6 linked regions of the Rattus norvegicus genome follow. The protein of the gene in region 4 purifies or fractionates together with the protein of the main gene of each other region. This does not show direct contact. Links are inferred from orthologs where the notes say so. Each region holds a gene or a part of one and is shown on either strand. Other genes may lie near its edges.

Region 1 (3,500 bases), on a different chromosome or scaffold from region 4:
AGCCACAGGGGCACATAGGGTCCCACAAGGCGGCAGAGAGGACACTCGCGCTCCTGGGGGCCTCGCTCCCTCCGGCAGCCCCAGCCATGATAGCCATGGACGTGACCACAACGGACGTAGACCCAGGGTTGCTGCTTGTCGGGTGCTGTGCGGCCACGGGCTGGACTGGGGAAGGCCAAGGTGCTGAGGCCCACAGGACACTGGGGCCGTGCTGCGTTGGCCTCCTGTCGCTGGGCCTCCAGTTGTTTCAGGGTGGGTGCCCTCAGCAACCCTGCCGGAGTGCGCCACAACAGTGTGGCCCCACACAGGTCGATGAGCGAACCATCTTGCAGGACGTTGGATTCGTTTTCCACCTGCCGAAGGCAGCAGAAGGCCTTAGCCCAAGAGCTCTCTGGCCCTGCCTTCAGGCAGCCTCACCCCAGAGAAGCCACCTATCTGACCAGTGACATTCCCTTAAGAGAACACCCTAGGCCAGCAGGCCAGCTGAACCAAGGAAGACAGATGCCCCCAAATACATACAGCCCTTTATCTCAGCAGGACCCGGGCTTTGCTATCTCCACAGGTCAAATCAGGAGGTCTGGCCCAAAGCAAGGTTTTTCTGAAACGTTTTCCAGAGCTCTCCCAAAATGGCAGAAGTAGAATATGACAAAGAAAACAAATAACCTCCCAGGGGGGATACAGGTACTGAGCCCAAACTGGCTGCCCCCCAGGTCGTGGATCACAGCAAGATCTCTAGAGCCAGAGAGCCTCCGTCTGAATCCTGATCTTGCCAGTCACTGACTTAGTGTTACCAAGAAAATAATGTAACTTCTGTATCTTGGTCTCCTGGACCTCAAAGTGAATTTCATATCTCAAGTGGGCCTTGTAAAGATTAAATAAGTCAACTGAAAAAAACATGGACGATGTCTGGAATACAGTGGGCACATAACAATGTCTGGTATACAGCAGGCACATAACGAGCACATGTCTGTGTTACATTCATGTGCATGGTTTGTTTTGTTTCTTTAGTTTTTAACTTTATGGGTGTTTTGCCTGCACGTATGCCTGTGTGTTACATGTGTGCCTGGTGCCCATGGAGGCCAGAAAAGGGTGTTGGATCCCCTAGATCTAGAGTTATGCATAGCTGTAAGCTGCCATGTGGGTGCTGGGAACTAAACCTGGGTCTTCTGGAAGAATGGCTAGTGCTCTTAGCACTGAGCCGTCTCTCTAGCCCCTGATTTGATTTTGAGACAGGCTCTTGCTGTGTGCTCAGGCTGGCCGAGAACTCATAACCCTCTCATGTGCTGACGCCTGGGGAGAGTTCTGTGGTCCAGTCAAGGAATATAGCTATACGGCCCTATTTTTTTTTCCTAGAATTTACTCCCAGCTCTCAACATCAGTGCTCCAAGAAGCACCAAAGGAGCACTTCCAGGAGCAGTGTAAGAACCACTCCAAAGGCCCTTTTACTCCTGCTGGGAGAGAATAACAACACCCTCCTTATATGCGACAGACACCCTAGGAGCTGCCAACACTCTGGACTATAAACTGTTCATGCACAGGCCAAGTGTCATCCTTGGAAGAGGGTGTGATTTTCTAAGCTGCTGGCAGCCTCGAAGCCATTTGGTTCCACACAGCGCATGTGCATGGCTGCATTTCATATCACCTGCTGGATCCCCAGCTGTATAAAAGTATACCTAGTGACCTTGCTCGGGTCCTGTCTGTGTGGCAAGTGACAAGTGTCAGGAACTGTCTAAGCCTGGGGCTCGCCAAGCAGAACCTAGTGGGACTCCCTTGGGGAGAAGTGCTATAGACCCGTCTCCCAGCATGGAAAGGCAAAGAACTGCTGATGGGGGCCTGGGAAGGGAGGGGAGAGACGGAGGAAGTCACCTACCAGCTTCCCCCGCTGCTGAGCTGATCGGCTATCCCGAAGTTCGTACACATTCCCGCAAACGGAAATTTCCCTCCAGACACCCGGGGCAGAGTCCTCAGAGAAGCCACCCGCTGGGTGCATCACCAGGACCCCATTGGTTGTCAAGCCATCCATCAGACCGTCAGGAGTCCTCCACTTGGCTGCCCGCTCCTAGGACCACAGGAAGGATAAGCTCACAACTCCAAGAGTTCCCAAAAGGCTGCATGCCAGAGATGGTGTCCCCCCACCTTTGAGGTCTGGGGTTTCCCAGGGAGGATTTCAGGTCTTGGGCACCACTTGGCCTCTTTGTTCTTCCCTTTGCTTGTTCAAGAAATGGGCTGCTAAGCCTTACGAGAGGAGCGACACAAAGGATGGCTATGTACTGCCCCATCACTCCAGGACACAGCATCTCCCCAGCCTCCCTCCCCTCAGCTCTCTCTAGCCACGCTTGGGCAATCACTCACTCCAAGAAAGATGTTGCTAGAGGCATCAAAACCAGCAGCATAAATGCGGGCAGTATAGGGTGGCCGGCGGTCACAGAGGATTCGGCAGGCATAGCGAGAGATGGTACTCTGGGCAGAAGGGCCCTCCGTAGTCCCTCCGCCAGGAGATGTGTCCGTTACCACGAAGTCAATCATGTTTTCAGTAGAGCGGCCAATCTATAAGGAAGGAGGGCCAGAACACATGTGCAGACAAATTTCACAGTTTTCTCACCCAGTGTCTCAGCAGCCACCAAAACCTGAAATGCCAGTCCCAAAGAGAACAGTGCACACTGCAACCACAACGCTCCAGAGGCTAGGCCCTGTGGGCTGGCCTGCAGGTTCCTTACGTCTGACCAACTGTGGTATGAACCAATTTCTGCTCTGTGGCCCCACGGCTCTGAGAAATACCCGACTCAGTTGCTCCTCTACTGTTGACAGACCAATTAAAAGTGACACCTGAAACATTAGCAGTGAATTAAGTTTTAGTAAGAAGGTATCACCGGATAAGCTTTTAAGATTTTTTTTCTTTTTGAGACTGGGTTTCCCTATATGTATTCCTGGCTACCCTGGAACTCACTCTGCCTACCAGGCTGGCCCCAAACTCAGACATCCGCCTGCCTCTACCTCCCAGGTCCTAGGATTAAAGGCATGCACCGCCACCCAGCTCTTGTTGTTGTTGCTTTTGTCAAGCAGGGCTTCACTGTGTAGCCTGCACTGGCTTGGCACTTGCTAGGTAGAGCAGGCTAGCCTCAAGTCCACTTATGTCTACCTCCCAAGTGCTAGTATTAAAGGTATAAGCTGACACACTCTGCTTATTGTGTTTGCTTATGTATGTGTTTCTGAGTGAATTCACTGTAGCACATGTGTGCAAGCACCCGTGCAGGCCAGAGGGCATGGGCCCCCCTGGACTGAGTGACAGGCAGCTGTAAGACAGCAGACGTGGGTGCTGAGAACTGAACCTGAGTCCTTTGCAAGAGCAAGAAGTGCTCTTAACCTCTAACCTAGCTCTCTAGGCCCAAGCTAAGCAATTTATGTACAAACCTCAATCATTCCTGTCATGAGGGGGGAGGCTACTATGGGCCTCGTTTTACAGATGAGGACAACAAGACTCAGAGATGTTAAATGACTCT
Region 2 (3,500 bases), on a different chromosome or scaffold from region 4:
TTCCAGAGGTCCTGAGTTCAATTCCCAGCAACCACATGGTGGCTCACAACCATCTGAAATGAGAACTGATGCCCTCTTCTGGTGTGTCTGAAGGCAGCTACAGTGTACTCGCATACATAAAGTAAATAAATAAATCTTTAAACACACACACACACACACACACACACACACACACACATGAGCTTAAGAGTTCGGGTGGAGAGGCCAATATAGGTTCAGATGCACATCTGGCTATTCAGTATGATTAATACAATACACAAAATTCATTAGTAGCTCATAGAGGTAATATTTGTCACCCCTTGGAGATATAAATATGGTTTCTAGAAATCTAGTGAACGCAGAATTGTAGTACTTTGGTGAGAGGTTTTATTGCCCTCTTAAGTACCCAGGAAGAGGACTGGTGGGAAGAACACTCACCTGTGGTGCTGACAGGGGTTTAGGTGGAACCTAAGGCTCTCAGATCATTTACCTGGAAATGTTGCCACAGATGACGGCACACGGCCGGGTGTTGTGCAAGCACTGGATGGCTTTGGCTATTCCTATCAACACACTGATTCGAACGTGCCAGGAAAGTGGGGTTGTGCCATTCTAAAAAACAGACAGGTTGACTTAGTTGTATTTTCTTAGTGCAAATTACCTATATAGTCACTATGTGGGCACATGGTTCCAAAGCCACTGTTGGCATTTAGTCTAGGCTCTGCCCCACAGTAACCTAGCAACAGCCAGGTGTGCACCACCCCACAGTTACCTGGCAACAGCCAGGTGTTCCTGACTCACTATAAAGGGGCTACCCCCTCCTTTCTCTCTTGCTCTCTTATCTTGTTCTTGCCCCTTACCCTTCCCCCCTCTTTCTCCCCCATCTACCTGCTCATGGCCAGCCTCTCCTCCTCCTCCTCGTCCTCCTCGTCCTCCCCTCCCCCCTCTCCTTTTCAGTCTCTACTACTCCCTCAACTCCCCTCCCCATGCCCTAAATAAACTCTATTCCATACTATACCATCTGTGGCTGGTACCTCAGGGGGAAGGGATGCCTCAGCATGGACCTGCAGAGGTGCCCCTTTCCCCGACACCATACCACACACCCCCACTAAACATATCCCTGGCTTCTCTTCTCTATCTTTTTATAAAACACAACAGCCACAGCTGTAGATGGAGTGGTGGAAGAAGAGGCAAATCAACGTTTCAGTTTGCTACAATCTGTTTTTAATTCCAAATGGGTCTTCCTCTACAGCTCAAGGACAGTGATTCTCAACCTGCAGGCTCCAAACTCCATAGGATTCACGTATCAAATATAACATATATCAGATATTTACATTACAATTTATAACAGCGAAATTACAGTTATGAAGTGGCAACGAAAATAATTTTATGGTTGGGGGAAGACTGCAACATGAGGAACTGTATTAAAGGGTCAAAGCATTAGTAAGGTTGAGAACCACTGCTCTAGGGAAATACCCAACAATTTTTAACTTTAGTTTAATCAGACTGTGGCCAATGGGCTGAGAGTACGGCTCAGCAGTAAAATCCTTTCTGAGCATGCATAAGACACTGGGTTTGATTCTCCAACCCTGTACCCACTTGAATACCACATGCCAAGGAAGCTGAGAATAGCTGATATAAACTCACTACACATATTGTTAAATTACACAGAACCCAGGAACTCGTGTGTTCAGGGAACCTTCTAAGGGTAAGACATCAGTCTCCTGGGAGGCCCTTCACTTCCCCGGGAACCATTCCTGAATATCCCCGCCCCCCAGTCATGCGCATGCTCAGATCTTGCCCCTCAGCTCCCTCGAGTGTCAACAGCCCTCCTTCATCCTGGGCTTTAGTGGGCCAAAGGACCTGAGGGACTGGTACCCGCGACTTACTGTGCACTGTAATCTGTCGAAAAGTGTCCCATTGCTCATATAGGGATAAACCAGACAAAGTTTCTCCATCTCTGTGAAATATGCAGCCAGCTCTAGTATGTGGGGGTGATTGAACCTTGAAACAGAAAGTTTTAAACCATCAGATTCTCCACTTAAATAGAAGACGGACAAGAGGCTTGATCAGGAGGGGTGGGGAACAGTTCTAGTGTAACTAAGTTTGGCCAAGAGACAGTAACTAAGTTTGACCAAGAGACAAGTCATTTCCTTGGGAGTTCAGGCAAGTACTAGTTCCACCGGTTTTAATCAACTGCCAGCATGTAAATCAATATAATATATTAAAATACAAGGCAATAAAATGTAAGGAAGTATCGATTTCTTAAGCCTTGGGATACTAAGAACGTCATACAAAAAAATTCATATAAAAACCACAATTCAATATTCACTTATTTTCGCTGATATAAAAAATGTCATATCTTTATTTGTTAAGCAAATAATGGTTATGCAACAGAAACCCATCTGATTAAGTCTGCAATGCAAGGAAAATCACGAAAACACGGGACTAGGGAAGGCTGTCTTCATCCACCCATCAGTGGGGCATTACCACATCAGGTGCTGGGTTAAGCCCTGGCTACAGGCAGGCAAGGGACAGTCATGCCTTTACCAAGCTTGGATTGTCATCGACAACCCACACAATAGTATCTTCATCTACAAAAGCTGGAAACTGATTTTAAATTTCAGATTTCTACATTAGTGTACTAGATGCATGTTAGGCTCCTGTCCTAATCATGTATTAACCAACAAATAAACTCTATTCCTTAGATACCATGTTTATATGAAGATCAGTATAGTCCAGGCATGATAGTGGAAGGGGCTAGTGTTGGCTCAAGAAAACCCAAGAGCGAGATTCTCAGCACAAAGGAGATTTATTTGTCCCAGAGGCACAGAAGGCAGGGAATAAGAGACAGAGGATGAGGGAGAAGGGGAAAGGAACAGGGAGAGGGGGCAGGGGTATTTGTCTGGGGGTTGCGGTGGGAAGGACTGTTCCTGAATAGAAAGAAGACAGACTGGCCCATAGGCAAATGAGACGGTTCATAAGGGTAAAAGGAAAAACCTCATGTTAGGATCAGGCATTTAATTTTGATTGGACAGGGTAATTAGGGCAGCCCCAAGGGAGCGTTTGATAGCTGGACCTTAATAGTCAGTCATAAGAGGAGGAAGTGGGCAAATGAGGAAATAGATCTGGGTGGCTAACCTTAGGAATCTAACCTAGTGGTTTTTAGCAAGGCAGAGGGAACAGGGCAAGGCGGGTCAGAGCCGTGTGTGCTGGCCAGAGTCCCTTGGTGGTTACTCTTCATTGTCTAGCTTTAGTAAAGCACAGCACGAGGGCTGCAGCATCCAGTGGACTCAGGTCCCAAAATGAATGAAAAGGACCAGGTAGGCTGAGCACAAGGACCCATCTCTCTGCGCTTCCTGATTGGACTCAGTGAGGCCAGGCACCATGCCATTCTCCCACAGTAACTTCTGGTGATGATGTGCTGAATGGTGCACTGTCCTCTCAAACTGTGAGCCAAAACAAACCATCAGCCCCTCCAGTCCTTCTTATCAGGTGTCAGGTCAAGGCAGGAACTAAAGCAC
Region 3 (3,327 bases), on a different chromosome or scaffold from region 4:
GGGACTGAACCCAGGGCCTTCTGCTTCCTAGGTAAGCGCTCTACCACTGAGCTAAATCCCCAGCCCTCCCCTCCCCTTTCTAATGGGATGCGTTACCTCCCTGTCTTCTGCTCTGTTGCGTTCTGCGTGAAGAATGTTCGGGTGCCCTTGCCCCCATAGATCGTTGGATTTCGCTTTTAAAGCCGTCTCTATTAAACCTGTTGCAGGTGGAAAGCGAGACCAATGTCCTGCAAGATGGCTCCCTCATTGACCTGTGCGGGGCCACGCTCCTCTGGAGAACCGCCGACGGCCTCTTCCACGCACCGACTCAGAAGCACATTGAAGCCCTCCGGCAGGAGATCAACGCAGCCCGACCCCAGTGTCCCGTGGGCCTCAACACCCTGGCCTTCCCCAGCATCAACCGGAAGGAAGTGGTAGAAGAGAAGCAGCCCTGGGCGTACCTGAGCTGCGGTCACGTGCACGGCTACCACAGCTGGGGCCATCGGAGCGACGGCGAAGCCAACGAGCGGGAGTGTCCCATGTGCAGGACTGTGGGCCCCTATGTCCCCCTCTGGCTGGGCTGTGAGGCAGGGTTTTATGTCGATGCAGGACCTCCAACTCACGCTTTCACCCCCTGTGGGCACGTCTGTTCGGAGAAGTCCGCAAAGTACTGGTCCCAGATTCCACTGCCCCACGGAACCCACGCATTTCACGCCGCCTGTCCGTTCTGTGCCACGCAGCTGGTTGGTGAACAAAACTGCATCAAATTGATTTTCCAAGGTCCAGTGGACTGACACCCTGGACGACCGTCTACATGACGATAACACGTTACTGTGAAGATTTCGCCACTAACTGTAGATCCTACCTTTTTGTAAGGCTCTTTGTTGAGGGGACGGCGGACTGAGTTGGGACGACAGAGGTGGGGCAGGCGATGACAGATACCACTGTGTTTGGCATGCCCAGAACAGCAGCCTCACCTGAGGTCTGCCTGACTAAACTTTAATACCTGTGTAATGATTAGATTTCAACTGCCATGCTTTTATTTTTAACTTTAGGTTTTTAACCAGATTTTTTTCCCCCTTTGTAAACTTGGGTAAGATTTTACAAATGTAGAAGAAGGGTACTCTGCAGATGTCTCTTAGAGCACAGCCTGCAGAGCTGTGTGGCACAGGAGTCACACATCTGGTGATGTTCAGTGGTTGGGAATACTTGACAGTGGCCAGAATCTGACCCAGTACCAAAGGGCCAGCTCTGTTGGCCCTGCCACAAACACCCGTGGACAGGAGGCGTAGACCATGCACTTGTCTTGAACTCTGTAGCTTTTCCTCACTTTTTTTTTTTTTTTTTTTTTTTTACTTTGGGTGGAAGAGAGAATCCATATACTGTTTCATTTTAACTTTAGTGGAATTCACTTACATATTCACTCATCAGATATGTGGCATGTCAAACAAAGAACCCCCCCCCATGGTCCTAGCCTGCCCTGTTATTAATTTTGCTTAGCGTGACACTTACATGTCAAGAAGTGATTGGTTGGTTGGTTAACTGATTGATTGATGATTGAATTCATGAACTGAGGGTGGCAGCAGCGGGCGTGTCCTAGGTACTCTAACATCAGTTTTATCTGCACACCAGAAAACTTAAGACCCAAGTGGGATTTAAAATACGCTTTTACTTCTAAAACCACTTGCTGGCACGTCCTGTGTTTCCTTTCTCTTCTTCTTAGGAAAGCCCAAGATTTTTTAAGCCCAGAAGCAACAAGCAACAGCGAGATTGTCATTTCTGTCCCCTACCTTCCCACCATCTGTCACCTTCCCTCACAGCTTAAGGAACCCCATAAGGTTTTTGGTTTTGTTTTTTGTTTTTTGTTTTTTTTAATGTTTGCAAATCAAGCTAAATCTAAATGTGATTGTCAGCTACACGGAGCACTGAGTGGCATGTGTGTAGAGATTGGTCGAGATTCCTGCTTTTGAGAGGGCAAGTGAGTGTTTACTGGGGAATCATTAAATCAGTTTCATATGAGCTGCACTGCCCCTCTCTGTTTCATCTTGCATTGATTGATAATGCCTGAGTGCTTGTTTTCTATGCTTGGTGACAGTGGTATCAGAGGCTCCCAGAATGTCAGCATGGAGACACACTGCTGGGCTTAGCTGCATTCCACCCCATTCCCAGGGAGAAAGTCTTCGGTTAAATTAACATCTGCTCAGAGGGACCGCCAACAGATCTGATCTGCCTGTTTTAGCTTTTGTAAATATAAATAATTTATATGATTATGACATATCCATACTTGAATCGGTTTTTCCATATCTTGCCTATTAGCAGATATTTCACCTATTTTCAACCAATTAAACCTATTTGAGTAGTTTTTCCTGAAGGCAAAACGGTAATATTAATTCCTCTGTAGTGTTGCTGCTTAGTTCGACTCAATTTGCTGGAGTTACCTGTCATTTTAAAAATAGCTTTATTTTCCCTTGGAGACTGTTAAGAATTATGAGAGAGTTTTTTGTTTTAATTATATTTATGATGTGAAAATCCAACAACAGTCTTTTTACTGGTAGTTCCCTATGTTCTACATAGATAACCTGCAGAAAAAAATGAAATAAAGACAGAGAGAGAGAGAGAGAAAGAGAGAGAGAGAGAGAAAGAGAGAGAGAGAGAGAGAAGAGAACTTTCTAGAGAAACCTAGGGTGCCACCTGGTGCAGCCAGCGTTTTTATCACTGGTTTTCCTCCCCACCCCACCCCACCCCGCCTCTAGTTATATGGAAATTTATAGTTTGAGGGTTCCTGTCGTAATCTTGTAAGATAAAGGGTCTCACACCCAGTAAGGTTAAATTTTATATTTCACCCATCAAAAATAAAAAACAAAAACAAAAGAAGAAAAGCACCAAACTTGTTTTTTCAAGGAAGTTCACTCTGATACCAGACTACTCTGTGTCAAGAACCATGTCTGGCACATACCTCGGAATAAGGCAAGCATCCCAGCATCAGAGGTCATAACATGGCGAACTCGGTAATAAACCACAGGCTCTCCGTAGGGGCCACCTTAGCTCTTTGGTTTCCAGGTGAGGTCCCACCCCCGACCCCTGCCAGAGGAATAGTCAGCCTGCAAAGGCAGCCACGCCACCGCGACTGGGGCAGCTTCTGATGAGTCGCTTCTCTACTGAGGAAAGGTTTTTAAGTTTGAAAAACGGTTTGTTTGGTTTTTTTTGAGAATGAAGAACTGAAGTTCACCCACGTAGAATGAGACCGTGGAGAGAAGGAAGCTTCTCCAAGGTCAGCTCTGGGTGTTCCGGTTGGGCTGCCATCACTTGAACGATGAGCCCCACACCTCCTCCCACTTGTATATAAGA
Region 4 (4,300 bases):
CATCTGTCACTCTGGCTTGGAACAAGCTATCCACTTTATTCTGAGCCTTAGTTTCCCTTTGTGGAGAATGAGGAACAAGACTATTTATGACCTAATTCACAAGCAAGTGGAGGCTAAAGCTATTCCGAAGGTTTTGGCAAACACTGTACAGCTGGGATAACAGCTAGGGAACATTTCTCAGGACTTAAGACAAAATGCAATGGGTTCAGGTTCACCTGACTGCACAGAAAATGCTGATGCCCTTCTCCCTCTCCTCTCCCAAACAGTTTGAGAAGGAAGTTCTTATCCTGTATATGTGGTGGCTTGTGAGTTTGATACTCAGGCATGGCTCAAGCTTGGATTCAGTCTGACAGCCTGTCTCCATTGGTCCCCATTCCCCAAGAGCTACATGAACTAAATCCTTTAGCTACTCTGCTTATAAAGCCAATAACTCCCAATAGAGGAACAGTAAGGAGAGGCCAGAGGAAAGAATTGTGTGGAAAATCTTGGATCAAGCTGAGTGTAATGGTACATGCCTATAATTCTAGCATAGAGTCGACTGAGTTAGGAGAATTGCCAGTTTGAGGCTGGCCTGGGTTGGGTAGTGAGGCATTGTCTCAAAGCAAATAAAATGGAAGAAAGAAAACATTGGGCAAAACCTTGAGTTTGAAGGGGAGCCAGAAGCCCAAGTCCTGCCTGTCACAGGCTAAGGGGCTATGCTAGTAATGGTGCCAGATCAGCTAGGACTACCTGAAGGTGAAGCTGATCCTCTAAGGAGCCATTGGGCAGGAAGCCATAAACAAGGCAGTAGAAGCCACTCTCTGCACAGTAGCCAGCAAAGTCCACGATATTTGGGTGACGAAACCTGTTACCAAAGAGTAGAGTCTGAGTTCTTTAGTTTTCTGGGTTCCATTACTTTTCATCAGACCAGGCTTGGGTGGGCAGCCCTTGATGTTCCCTCACCTGGGCCTGGCAAGGCCTTGAGGGCCCAAGGGAGCCAGAGCTTGTGTTGTGCAGCCCTAAAGACTGATGAGGCCCTGGTGTGGCTCTCCTTGTGCCCCTAGACTGGAGGGACCCCCCGAGGCTCACCTTGATAGCTGTTCCACCTCTGTTAGGAAGCTCTGTTTCACCACAGTCCACTCTAGGTCAGCCTCCTGTAGCCCCAGGCATGGTGGGGGAAGAGGTAGGGAAAGTAGGCAGCATAAGCCAAGCTTGCCAGCTGTTTCCAGGCCCACAACAATGGAAGGCTTGGGGTCCTTGAACTGGAATCAGGGCTGAAGGAATTGCTGGGGGAGGCTGGAGGCAGGGAACTGTAGAAGTGAAGTGCTGATGGAGGGAGGAACTGGACGAACAAGGTGGCTACCCCACTGTTATACCTACCTCCTTCAGTCTCTTCACAGCATATGTAGTATTTCTCATTACTGCTCGGTACACACACCCAAAACCACCCTCTCCAATCCTGAGTTCTTCAGAGAAGTTGCAAGTGCCTTGGGAAATCTCACAGAAGGGCCAGCAAAATGGGGAGGGACGAGCTCTTTGGAGGCCAGACACTGGGCTCTCTGGGCTTGGCTGCTGGAAGAGACATGGATTAGGCGAGGACACTGTCTATTCCCCTTGGTCCAGGTTGAAAGCTCCCTTCAACACTAGTTGTCTCTTAGATGACCTGGCTGTGCTGATTCGGGCTCTGTGGTACACCAAAGATAAGTTTCTTCCTCTTTGGAAATTTCCCTGGGGGTTAAGGGACACCTACCTTGATGGAGGAGGGGGCTGAAGATTGTAGTGGTGGCCCGAGGGAATCAGAGAGTGGAACCTGGAGGAGCTCTGACTCAGAATGGGTCTGGGAGCCTGGAAAAGCTTCATAAAGATGGCAGTGAGAGGCAGAGACCAGCAGCAGTCAACAGCCATGTCAGTACTCATGGTGGCCTTTTCCTCACGCATATCAAGCCCAACACCCGGGTTCTTTTTACCTGGGGAGAGGAAGGTGGAGGCAGAGGACTGCAATTTCCGGGGGCTCCAGTCCTCAGTCTCAGAGCCTGCAGAGATGCTGCTGGGCCTTGGGGCACCGGTGCTTGGGGGCAGAACAGAGGCAGGAGGGTGCCCTGGGATAACAAGGAAGGAAAGGAGGGTGGTGTCTCAGGTCTCTCTATCCTTATATGTAGGGTGTGGGAGCTCCCATATGGTCCCCTGTCTCAGGAAGCTCTGTACCCGTCACCCCTCTTGGGTTCCCATCCCTAGGGTCCCTGGGGCTATGCTCGCTCACAGGCTGTAATGATGTCCCGCGCACGCAGCAGCTGCAGGTGCGTGAGGATGTGAACGAGGTCAGCCACACGCGCGTTGCGGTTGATCCAGGGCCACAGGACACTGGCCGTGCGCTGCTCGGAGCGCTCACACAGCCGCAGCTCTGTCTGGTCGCGCACGATCAAGGCCGCTGCGGGACGGGGAACATCAGGCTTCAGCTCCAGAAGCCTGGGTCCACCGCCCCACGTCGGCCTGCCGTCACCCACCGAACTGGCACCAGTCGGCGGGCTCCAGGGCGTCCATCACTTTGTAGAAACGGCACATAACCCAGGGAGGCACCTCGTACAAGAAATGCTGGGCGCCGGGAACCACAGGCTCCCCGGGGCCCGGGCCCCCGGCCATGACCGTTGCCGCCGCCCCCGCCGCCGGGCCGAGGCCTCTCCGGGCCTCGGCGGGCGCGGGCCTTAGCCAGCCCGGTCCACAAACACTGACTCACTTCCCCTTCAAGCCGGCCTCGTGCGACACCCGGCAGGCGGAAGAGGCGGCGCTCGGCCCGCCGCCATCTTGCCCTCCGCGGCCTTCCGCCACACGGGGGCGTCTCGTGAGGCCCTTAACTCCGGGAAGGAGCTCTGCTAGGGAGGAGGGCGTCCCTAGTGGGAGAACAGAAGGCTGTGGTTCTACAGGGACGGCGGGCTTCCAGCAGTGGGAACCATCTGAATAAGGCTGAACAGGATGAAGAAAGATTTCCAGTTCTGGAGACAAAGGGCATGATGTTTTACACGATGTTCTACAAAGGCAATTTATGCCAAGCCCGGTGAAAGCCACAGAGAGGCTCCCCTTGGCTTTACTTGGGGAGCAGTGGAGACTCAGCCGAATTGTTCAGTCAGGGTCAAATGTGGGTCACAAAATAGCCCTCTGGCAGACTCTAATCATTTGGTGGTAAGGATGGATGTCCTGAGAATGATCTGGAAGAGTGTATACCAAGAGTGCTGCTGCTTGTGTGCTAGATCCCTGTGCCCCCACCTCTGCCTCCAGGAACCTTCCAGCAGCTGGGCCAGCAAAGTGTTAGATCACAGAATCTGCCTGTGCAGGATCCTAACTTGCCAACTAACACATTTGTGTCTCTTAACATATACACGGTTGTCAGCTTTTCTTTTTCTGTTGCACTTTTATTTTAGTTTGCACTTCTCCCCATAAGGACCCTAGGATCTAGCAGCTTCTCCTACCCCCTTCTAGAGCAGTTGTTGGTGACACCACCTGATGTAACTTTTAGCCATGTGAGTGTCTCTTGCCCACTCCTCTACTGTTATCCATTCAGGGATTTCTTTGGCCTTTTTGATCACTCTATGGCACACATCTCAGCACATAGTACTTTCTCATTATGCTCTCTTTAAGTCCCCTTTGCATGAGTGCACTACTCTTAGCCATCGCCACTCACCTGCATGGATTGTATGGCTTGGGTGGAGCTCACAGCTCATGTCGTTGTCCTCAGGTTCAAATCACTAAAGCCCTTAGAATCCCAGTTCTTTTATGGCTGTTAGGAAGATGGCATAGCCAGTCTCTTGTCTACCCACCTGAACTTGTATACACCAACAGCCTTAAGCCAATAAGAACTCTTTAGATTTAGTTGGGCTTGGTGATACACCCCTTTCAATCCTTGCAACCAGAAAACAAAGGCAAATGGACCTCTGCGAATTTGAGGGCATCCAGGGATACAAAGTGAGACCATACCTCAGAAAGACCAAAACTAAATTAAAAAAAAGCCCTTTTTAGTGGTGTCCTGAAAAGCACTTCTCATTCTACTCTGAAATTGAGTTTACATATACACCCCTGCTGTAGTCCTTCCTGACTAGACTGAACATAAATAGCTGTGGGGAAAGCTTCCTAAACCCAACTCTCTCTTAGACACATCTTGAGCTTGCAATGGAGTTCTGTATCTCTGAACTTTTCTCACTTCCCACTGCCCAGGAAGATCGACAGGTAGCAACTTGGCAATCCTTGTTTCTCCAGCTGAAAGCATGCTTGTAAAGCAGCAGCTTTCTTCTCCTGATTACAGTTTCCCCAACAGACACTTTTTGTCATA
Region 5 (3,500 bases), on a different chromosome or scaffold from region 4:
CTTTGTCCCTGCAGGGAGATTTGTCATAGGCAGAAGGCCCAAGTTCTGTCTGTCAGGGCTGTTTTCAGGATATGTGTGGGTGGATTTCATTCCCAAGTCCTGTACTATCTTCCCTCGCTCAGCTGGCGTAAGGGCTAAGTTTAATAAAGACTAATGAGTCACTCCATTCTGACTGTGTGGAACCCTCAGACCCCACACAGATGAACCACAGCAGCTCTGTGCTGTCCTAGATCCAAAGCAATGCTCACTCTGAGCACCAGCAAGCAGGGACCATATAGGCAAAGCCCCATCCAGGATCTCATATTCCCTCTTGCCCTATGGACTGGCCATCCCTACTGCCTTAGCCTTTGAATTCCTTGGGATAGCAGGACTACATGGTTTGCTTGGACTCCAGTTTCCTGAACCCTAGCAGAGAACAGGGGTCCTGAAGGCCTGCCCTGGTGTCTACTCTCAGAGCCACAGTCTTTCCTGTTGGCTAAGAAAGCAGGTGTGTGATCTCATCTGGCTTGCCCTACTCTGGTAGGAAGGCCAACTGGACACCAGGTACTGTGAAATCCACAGGAAGGTTAAAAATTAAAAAAATATATAAAAGCCACATCTTGACTTTACGACTCAAGCAGGTATTAATTTACATGGGTAAATACTTTCAACGAAAGCCATGATTTAAGATGTAGTATGCCTTGTCTAACAGGAACCAGATTTTCTTATTCCTACAACTCATACATGAAAATATTCCTAGACAACGTTTCTACACCTCTAAAAATTTCAACTCACCTTACTTGTGGCAAAAACAGAGCAAACACTACTTCCTATGTATACAAAAATAATTCAAATATGACACTGGAGTAGGTTTTAGAAGGTCTTCATTTAAAATAGCCATGCTTACACAATTCTACACTACTCAAGCTTCATAGGAATGCTGGGCCCCTCCCTCCTCCTGTCCTACTTTGTCCCTGGGATGCCTACCAAAGAAGCAGTACACACCTGCAATGGGCACATAGCCAACACCCTGCTGGTACACAGTTGGCATCAGAACCACAGGCTGAGGCGGCATCATCATGGCAGCTGGAAGGGACTGAAACACAACAAAGAAAAACATGGGTGTCAAGGAGGACCATACCATATGTCAATCTTGTTACTTCTGGTATCATAGGGCTAGTCCTAGCCACAGCCCAGACAGCAACACCCAAGACATGGAATCCTCAGCAAGAATGTAGTGTCCATGGCCACTGGTTTCATCTGCACCACTCCTGCAGACCTCCTCCCTTCAGCTGGAAGACTTGGGCTGCAGACTCAGAACTACAGCTCAGTTAGGAAAGTGCTTGGTGCACAAGCATGAGGACATGAGTTCAATCCCCGGCACCCATATATAAAGCTATGTTTATGTGTGTGTGTGTGTGTGTGTGTGTGTGTGTGTGTGTGTGTGTGTGACACATATCTATAATCCTAGGACGAGAGAGGCAGAGACAAGAAGATCCCTCAAGTTCATTAGCCAGCCAATCTAGTGAATGGAATGAGTTTCAGTTTCAGTGAGAACAAGAGTCAAGGTGAAGACCAAAGAAAACAAATGATGTCAACCACTGGCTCACACGAGCTACAACCACACCACTTCTCACACAGGACTTACAAAGCTCCCTTCAGGGTCCATTTTGGAGACTGCATCAGTATCAGTAGCTTCTCTCGGAAATGCTGAACTGCTTTGTTTTATTTAACATATCTTAGTGTTTTGTGTGCCTATATGTGTGTGCATTATGTGTGTGCCTGATGCCAGTGAAGGTTAGATTAGGGTATTGGATCCCCTGGAATTGGAGTTACAGTTGGTTGTCAGCCACCATGAAGGTACTGGGAATCACAAGAGCAGCAGTGCTCTTAACCTGTTGAGTCACCTCTCCTGCCCCAGCTCAAATAATCTTGAACTGTAGATGAGCGAGTATACAATGGACCTATGCTACATAAAGCACCTGTTAAAGATGGGTGACACTCCACACCAGGAGAGGCATGTAGGATGGTAAAGCGGAGGAGGCCTGCATACCGGGTGCTTTATACTCCCCTGTTCTCAAAGGCTCAAGAACAACTAAAAGGAAAGGCCCAGATAATACAAAGGAGACAGTGGGAAACCAGACCCCCAGCCCTGCCTCCCATGACTTCCCAAGGTTCTGGGAGCCATAGCTATCTCAAGGAGGTGCCAGACCCTCTTTGAGAATGGCCTCGCCAGACAGTGAACTCACCGTATAGGACATGACCAGGTTAATCATGCCCTCCTTGTCGTCGCCCTGCCTCCCACTCAGGCTATACCACTCGTCCTCCACTTGGCCCTGCTTCAGGGACTCGGGGATAGTGATGTGGGTCCAAGCTATGCGGTCGTCCATGGAGAAGGCTCGCTGAGGAAGACAAGAGTAAAATGACCTCATTATGGCCCTCAACGACCCATGTTATAGAGACCAGCTTTTCCTAAGGCTGTGCTTGGACTGCCGCCTGCATCTACCTTCTGTGTTCTTGGCAGGACAGGGTTCCTCTCACTGCTCCAGCTTCCTCCAAGGAGCTTCCCATTAAACCACAATCCCAGACATCCAGGTGACCTGTACCTGGCCACCACTACTTCTGCATCTTCTGAGTAACCACCATAAGGTCAGGCCAAAGGACAATAAAGAAATCTCTTGGCTGCCATCCTTGCTCAGGGATGGACACTGTCCTCTGCAGTCCTTGTGGCCCTAACTAATCAACTAGATAGAAGCTGTAAGTCTCAAGCCCAGTAGGTACAGACAAGGACAAGAGCTGCCAGCCCATCCATAGCCCAACCCTCCTTCCCATATCCCTACTCTTCACAGACGCTGAAGAAGAAAGCAGAGGAAGGGGGTAAAGACAAATGAGTGGCTGCGTCCCCCTCGCTGGACTACCCATGCCCACTTCCTTTCTGGCTCTCACCGTCCCCATTCTCTTCCCACTGCCCTTTGCTCTGTTTCAAGGAGGCAAGCACATGGTCTCCAGAACTAAGCTGCGAGAAGACATCTTCAGCCACCTGAGTTTCCTGACTGCCCTCAAAAAGTTGCACACCTAACTGCTGGTATGGCCATGGGACATTAGTGTCAGAGCCTGGAACTGAGGCCTGCAAGAACAGTGTTCCCCTCACTGAGGGTGCTGACTTATTTGTAATTCGACTTATCCATGAACATCTATCTTCACACTCTACTCATGCTTCTATCACTGGTGATGGCTCCTAATGGACACTGTCAAAGAAACTGTACTTTGTCATTCAGCCACTAAATGCCAGGTGTCCAGGCAGGTTACACCCTGTCACTAGTCACTAAATGCTAGGTACAAAGGTCCTGAGCACCAGTAGAACAGCCTCATGACTACAACCACAAGGCACATGCAGCACACCCATGGCTGCCAGATCCCAAACTTGGCAACTCTGTAACATTGGAGCATCTCTCACCTCATCGAAGATCTCAAGGTAGAACGAGTCCACACCTGGGGGCACTGTGCACTGAATAACCTTG
Region 6 (3,500 bases), on a different chromosome or scaffold from region 4:
ACAACCAGGGTAATAAAGGAAAACTCTCAAAAATCAACAAAAAGCAAGAAACTCATCCAAGTAGCTGGAATTTGAGATGTGTACTATACCAAGGCTGGCGTCTACAACTGCTCCTTACCTGTGCACTTATTAACAGATTTCTGTAAGTAGAAGATGATCCTTACCTACCAACAGGATTAAAGCTCGGAGAGAGAACATTTGCCCAGCATGGGCAAGGGCCAGGGTTTGATCCTCACAGTTACAAAAATAAGCAAAGCTAGAACTCCAGGAAAGGCAGAGTTAGAAGTAACATTTCTGAGTGTTTTGCTATTACAAGCTACCCAACATTTTTTAAAAAGATGTAATTATTTATTTTACGCATGAGTACACTGTTGCTGTCTTCAGACACACCAGAAGAGGACATCAGATTCCATTACAGATGGTTGTGAGCCATCATGTGGTTGCTGGGAATTGAACTCAGGACCTCTGGAAGAGTAGTCAGTGCTCTTAACCGCTGAGCCATCTCTCCAGTCCCTGACATTTTTTTTTAAATTAATACAAATTACAAAACCTGTCCTACTCAGTGTTCCATATCAGAGAGCTTCTGTTAGTTCCTGTTGCCTCTACTTACGTGCCCAGGTCTGAAGGCTTGTTCTGTAGTTGCTCTATGAGTTCCCTGTAGGTGGGGTCACTGAGCAGTGTCCTTGTCCTGGGATCATTCTCTAACTTCTGGTACAGATTAGGCAAGTTGAAAGGATTCATAAATTTCCTCTCTGTCCAAATGAAAGTACATTAGTATGAAATGTTAATTTCAGTCTCTACGATATCAAACATACCCCGCCTACCACCTATGTTCACTTTGGGGAGGACAGCATTGTTTTAAAAATTAATCCCATTACATAAAAGAAAATGCGAGTGAGTACCCACCTGCCAACCTGGCCTCCATGTTCTGCAAGCCTTCCTTAAGCTGTAGATTATTGGCTTCATGTTTTAAACCTTCTTCATAGGTTCGTTTGGCTTCTTCAAACCGGTTTAGGAACTCAAGGGCTGCTGCTTTTCTTGAATAACCCTGAACAGCCCCAAAATTATAGTAAATAGTGGTCATGCAGAAGTAAATTCAGATCAACTCAAAGAGTTTATTAGGGTTTTGTTTTTAATACATTTAATGCATAAGGGTGTTCTTTCTGCATGTGTATCTGTGCAACATGTATGCCTAGTGCCTACAAAGACCAGAAGACAGCACTGGGTTCCCTGAGACTGGAAGACAGTTGTCATCCACCACGTAGATGCTGAAAATTATGCCCAGGTCCTCTGGAAGAGCTACCAGTGACGTAAAAATGGAGTCATCTCACCAGCCCTTCCTTTTTTCCTAAGATTGGGTCTCATGTAGCTGTGGGTGGTCTCAAATTCCACCTGTCTCTACTTTCCAAATGTTGGGACTAAAGGCATATGCTACTCTGGTTGGCCCTCCTGCCATGTACTTTTTAGACCCAAATGATACTCACATGAAGGCCAACCAGCAAATAGGGAAAGGATACAACACCAACGCTGATACTAAAAGAATCCAGACAAGGGGTTGGGGATTTAGCTCAGTGGTAGAGCGCTTGCCTAGCAAGCGCAAGGCCCTGGGTTCGGTCCCCAGCTCCAAAAAAAGAAAGAAAGAAAAAAAAAAAAAAAAGAATCCAGACAAAGGTGCATAAATCTCCATGCAACCCATGGCTATAAGCTGTCAGCTTACTTAGCAATGTTTCATTTCTTATCTGTACAACTAATAAAACCTGTTTTATAATTGATAACAAACTTGGAGAATTAAGTGTTTCCTTCAAGGGGTACCTTCAGAGAGGGTGGACAGATAGGTCTTAAGGAGCAACCTAGAGCCAACTAGACAGGTCAGGAGGGCCTGCTAATTGGGAACGACAGACAAGAATCAAAGTTCTTAGGAAAACTGTACAGAGTGTAACTCTTCTACTTACCTTGCCCCAGTCAGGCTTCAGGTCAACAGTCTTGCAACCGTCCTCATACGCCTTCTGGTAGTCTCCTTTCTTGGCATAGGCTGCAGAGCGATTGCTATAGAGCACATGGTTCTGAGGATCTAGTTTAATTGCCTCAGAGTAGCACTGTAAGGCATCATCAATGTTCCCAGCACTCAGGGCCTTATTGCCCTTCTCCTTTAGCTCATTCACCTGAGGAGGGAAAAGTATACAGCCTCACTCTATAGAACTGAATTCTCCTCCCTAGGTGTAGATATTCTTATTCTTCGTAAGTATCAAGTTGGCCACTACTGATCAAAAAGAGAAAAATACGGGCTGGAGAGATGGCTCAGCGGTTAAGAGCACCCGACTGCTCTTCCAGAGGTCATGAGCTCAATTCCCAGCAACCACATGGTGGCTCACAACCATCTGTAAAGAGATCCGATTCTCTCTTCTGGTGTATCTGAAGACAGCTACAGTGTACTTATATATAATAAATGAATAAAAAAAAAAAAAAAAAAAGAGAAAAATACTATTCCATCCATGTTGTCCTATACCTCTGAAAACTAGCAGGGAAACAAAGCGGAGGCATCAAGACTTCTTTGTCCTCCACTGGCAGAGAATTCAGCCCCTCCAGTGCAAACTGGCTACTTTGAAAAGCAAATTCACTTGTCAAAGATCTGAATCATAGTAGCTGGAGATGGCTCAGTGGTTAAGATGACTGCTCTTCCAGGAGACCTGGGTTCAATTCCTAGCACCCACATAGCTGCTCATGCCTATCTGTAACTCCAATTTCAGGGCTTCTGATACCCTCATACAGATATACATGCATGCAGGCAAAAGACCAACGAACACAAAACTAAAAAACAAACAAATAAATAAAATCTGAGTGTAGGAAGAGCTGAGCATGCTCAGATACATGACTGAGCAGACACATGTGGCACACACACATACACACTCCCAGGACTTAGAAGGCTCAGGCTGAAGGAATCTGAGTTCTAGGCTATACAGAAACCACTCTCTCAAAAAAAACCTCAAGATGGGGCCTGATAAAACACCTAGGCCTGACAATCTAAGTTTAATACCTGGGGAGTAATGGATGAAAACAAACCAATCAATCCCACCAAGTTGTCCTCTAAAGGCCAGCCATATGTGCACATCTACATGCACACATCACGTATACACATGCTCTAGAAGCTTCAGAATAAGAGGATCCTGTTCCTCTATGTTCATTACAGCTCTACTGCTATTTCCCATTATTAGCAAGAGCTGAAAAGGACTTACTGTGCAACCTTTAAGGGTTGAGCTAGTCTCCGCCAAGTTCCTGCCATGTTTTACTATTACTCTATCAGGAAGAAGATGAAGACAAATATCATCCAATCCCAGTCTCTCCATTTCCAAGGAGCTTCATAAAGTGAATGAGACTTTGCTTAAGCAGAGTGCTGACTTTCCCCAAAGTCACCACAAAGCCACACCCCTAGCCTTTCCCTCCACTTAACCTGCGTTGGGACAGGGTCTCAGGTTAACTTCAAAGGCTAGCCTTGAACATGA

What was found.
Region 1: the proteins of Irak1 (region 4) and Peli3 purify together in Homo sapiens (affinity purification with western blotting; 7 studies listed by BioGRID and IntAct, with this or other methods). This does not show direct contact. The link is inferred for Rattus norvegicus from reciprocal best matches to the Homo sapiens genes IRAK1 and PELI3.
Region 2: the proteins of Irak1 (region 4) and Irak3 purify together in Homo sapiens (co-immunoprecipitation; 3 studies listed by BioGRID and IntAct, with this or other methods). This does not show direct contact. The link is inferred for Rattus norvegicus from reciprocal best matches to the Homo sapiens genes IRAK1 and IRAK3.
Region 3: the proteins of Irak1 (region 4) and Peli2 purify together in Homo sapiens (affinity purification with western blotting; 7 studies listed by BioGRID and IntAct, with this or other methods). This does not show direct contact. The link is inferred for Rattus norvegicus from reciprocal best matches to the Homo sapiens genes IRAK1 and PELI2.
Region 5: the proteins of Irak1 (region 4) and Tollip purify together in Homo sapiens (affinity purification with western blotting; 11 studies listed by BioGRID and IntAct, with this or other methods). This does not show direct contact. The link is inferred for Rattus norvegicus from reciprocal best matches to the Homo sapiens genes IRAK1 and TOLLIP.
Region 6: the proteins of Irak1 (region 4) and Stip1 purify together in Homo sapiens (affinity purification with mass spectrometry; 3 studies listed by BioGRID and IntAct, with this or other methods). This does not show direct contact. The link is inferred for Rattus norvegicus from reciprocal best matches to the Homo sapiens genes IRAK1 and STIP1.

The regions. Positions count from the first base shown.
Region 1 is NC_086019.1:211,662,240-211,665,739, forward strand, and holds part of Peli3 (E3 ubiquitin-protein ligase pellino homolog 3), read right to left. Parts: intron 2,548-3,500; coding exon 2,353-2,547; intron 2,060-2,352; coding exon 1,871-2,059; intron 354-1,870; coding exon 1-353. UniProt on the Homo sapiens protein: E3 ubiquitin ligase catalyzing the covalent attachment of ubiquitin moieties onto substrate proteins. Involved in the TLR and IL-1 signaling pathways via interaction with the complex containing IRAK kinases and TRAF6.
Region 2 is NC_086025.1:57,560,632-57,564,131, forward strand, and holds part of Irak3 (interleukin-1 receptor-associated kinase 3), read right to left. Parts: intron 1,981-3,500; coding exon 1,866-1,980; intron 589-1,865; coding exon 470-588; intron 1-469. UniProt on the Homo sapiens protein: Putative inactive protein kinase which regulates signaling downstream of immune receptors including IL1R and Toll-like receptors.
Region 3 is NC_086033.1:24,012,310-24,015,636, forward strand, and holds the end of Peli2 (E3 ubiquitin-protein ligase pellino homolog 2), read left to right. Parts: intron 1-206; coding exon 207-773; 3' UTR 774-2,827; downstream 2,828-3,327. UniProt on the Homo sapiens protein: E3 ubiquitin ligase catalyzing the covalent attachment of ubiquitin moieties onto substrate proteins. Involved in the TLR and IL-1 signaling pathways via interaction with the complex containing IRAK kinases and TRAF6.
Region 4 is NC_086039.1:156,927,026-156,931,325, forward strand, and holds the start of Irak1 (interleukin-1 receptor-associated kinase 1), read right to left. Parts: upstream 2,801-4,300; 5' UTR 2,620-2,800; coding exon 2,484-2,619; intron 2,473-2,483; exon of another isoform or gene 2,408-2,472; coding exon 2,240-2,407; intron 2,079-2,239; coding exon 1,947-2,078; intron 1,834-1,946; coding exon 1,730-1,833; intron 1,552-1,729; coding exon of another isoform or gene 1,549-1,551; coding exon 1,360-1,548; intron 1,134-1,359; coding exon 1,069-1,133; intron 845-1,068; coding exon 730-844; intron 1-729.
Region 5 is NC_086019.1:206,398,489-206,401,988, forward strand, and holds part of Tollip (toll-interacting protein), read right to left. Parts: coding exon 3,437-3,500; intron 2,382-3,436; coding exon 2,229-2,381; intron 1,076-2,228; coding exon 985-1,075; intron 1-984. UniProt on the Homo sapiens protein: Component of the signaling pathway of IL-1 and Toll-like receptors. Inhibits cell activation by microbial products. Recruits IRAK1 to the IL-1 receptor complex. Inhibits IRAK1 phosphorylation and kinase activity.
Region 6 is NC_086019.1:213,651,155-213,654,654, forward strand, and holds part of Stip1 (stress-induced-phosphoprotein 1), read right to left. Parts: intron 2,163-3,500; coding exon 1,953-2,162; intron 1,049-1,952; coding exon 907-1,048; intron 753-906; coding exon 611-752; intron 1-610. UniProt on the Homo sapiens protein: Acts as a co-chaperone for HSP90AA1. Mediates the association of the molecular chaperones HSPA8/HSC70 and HSP90.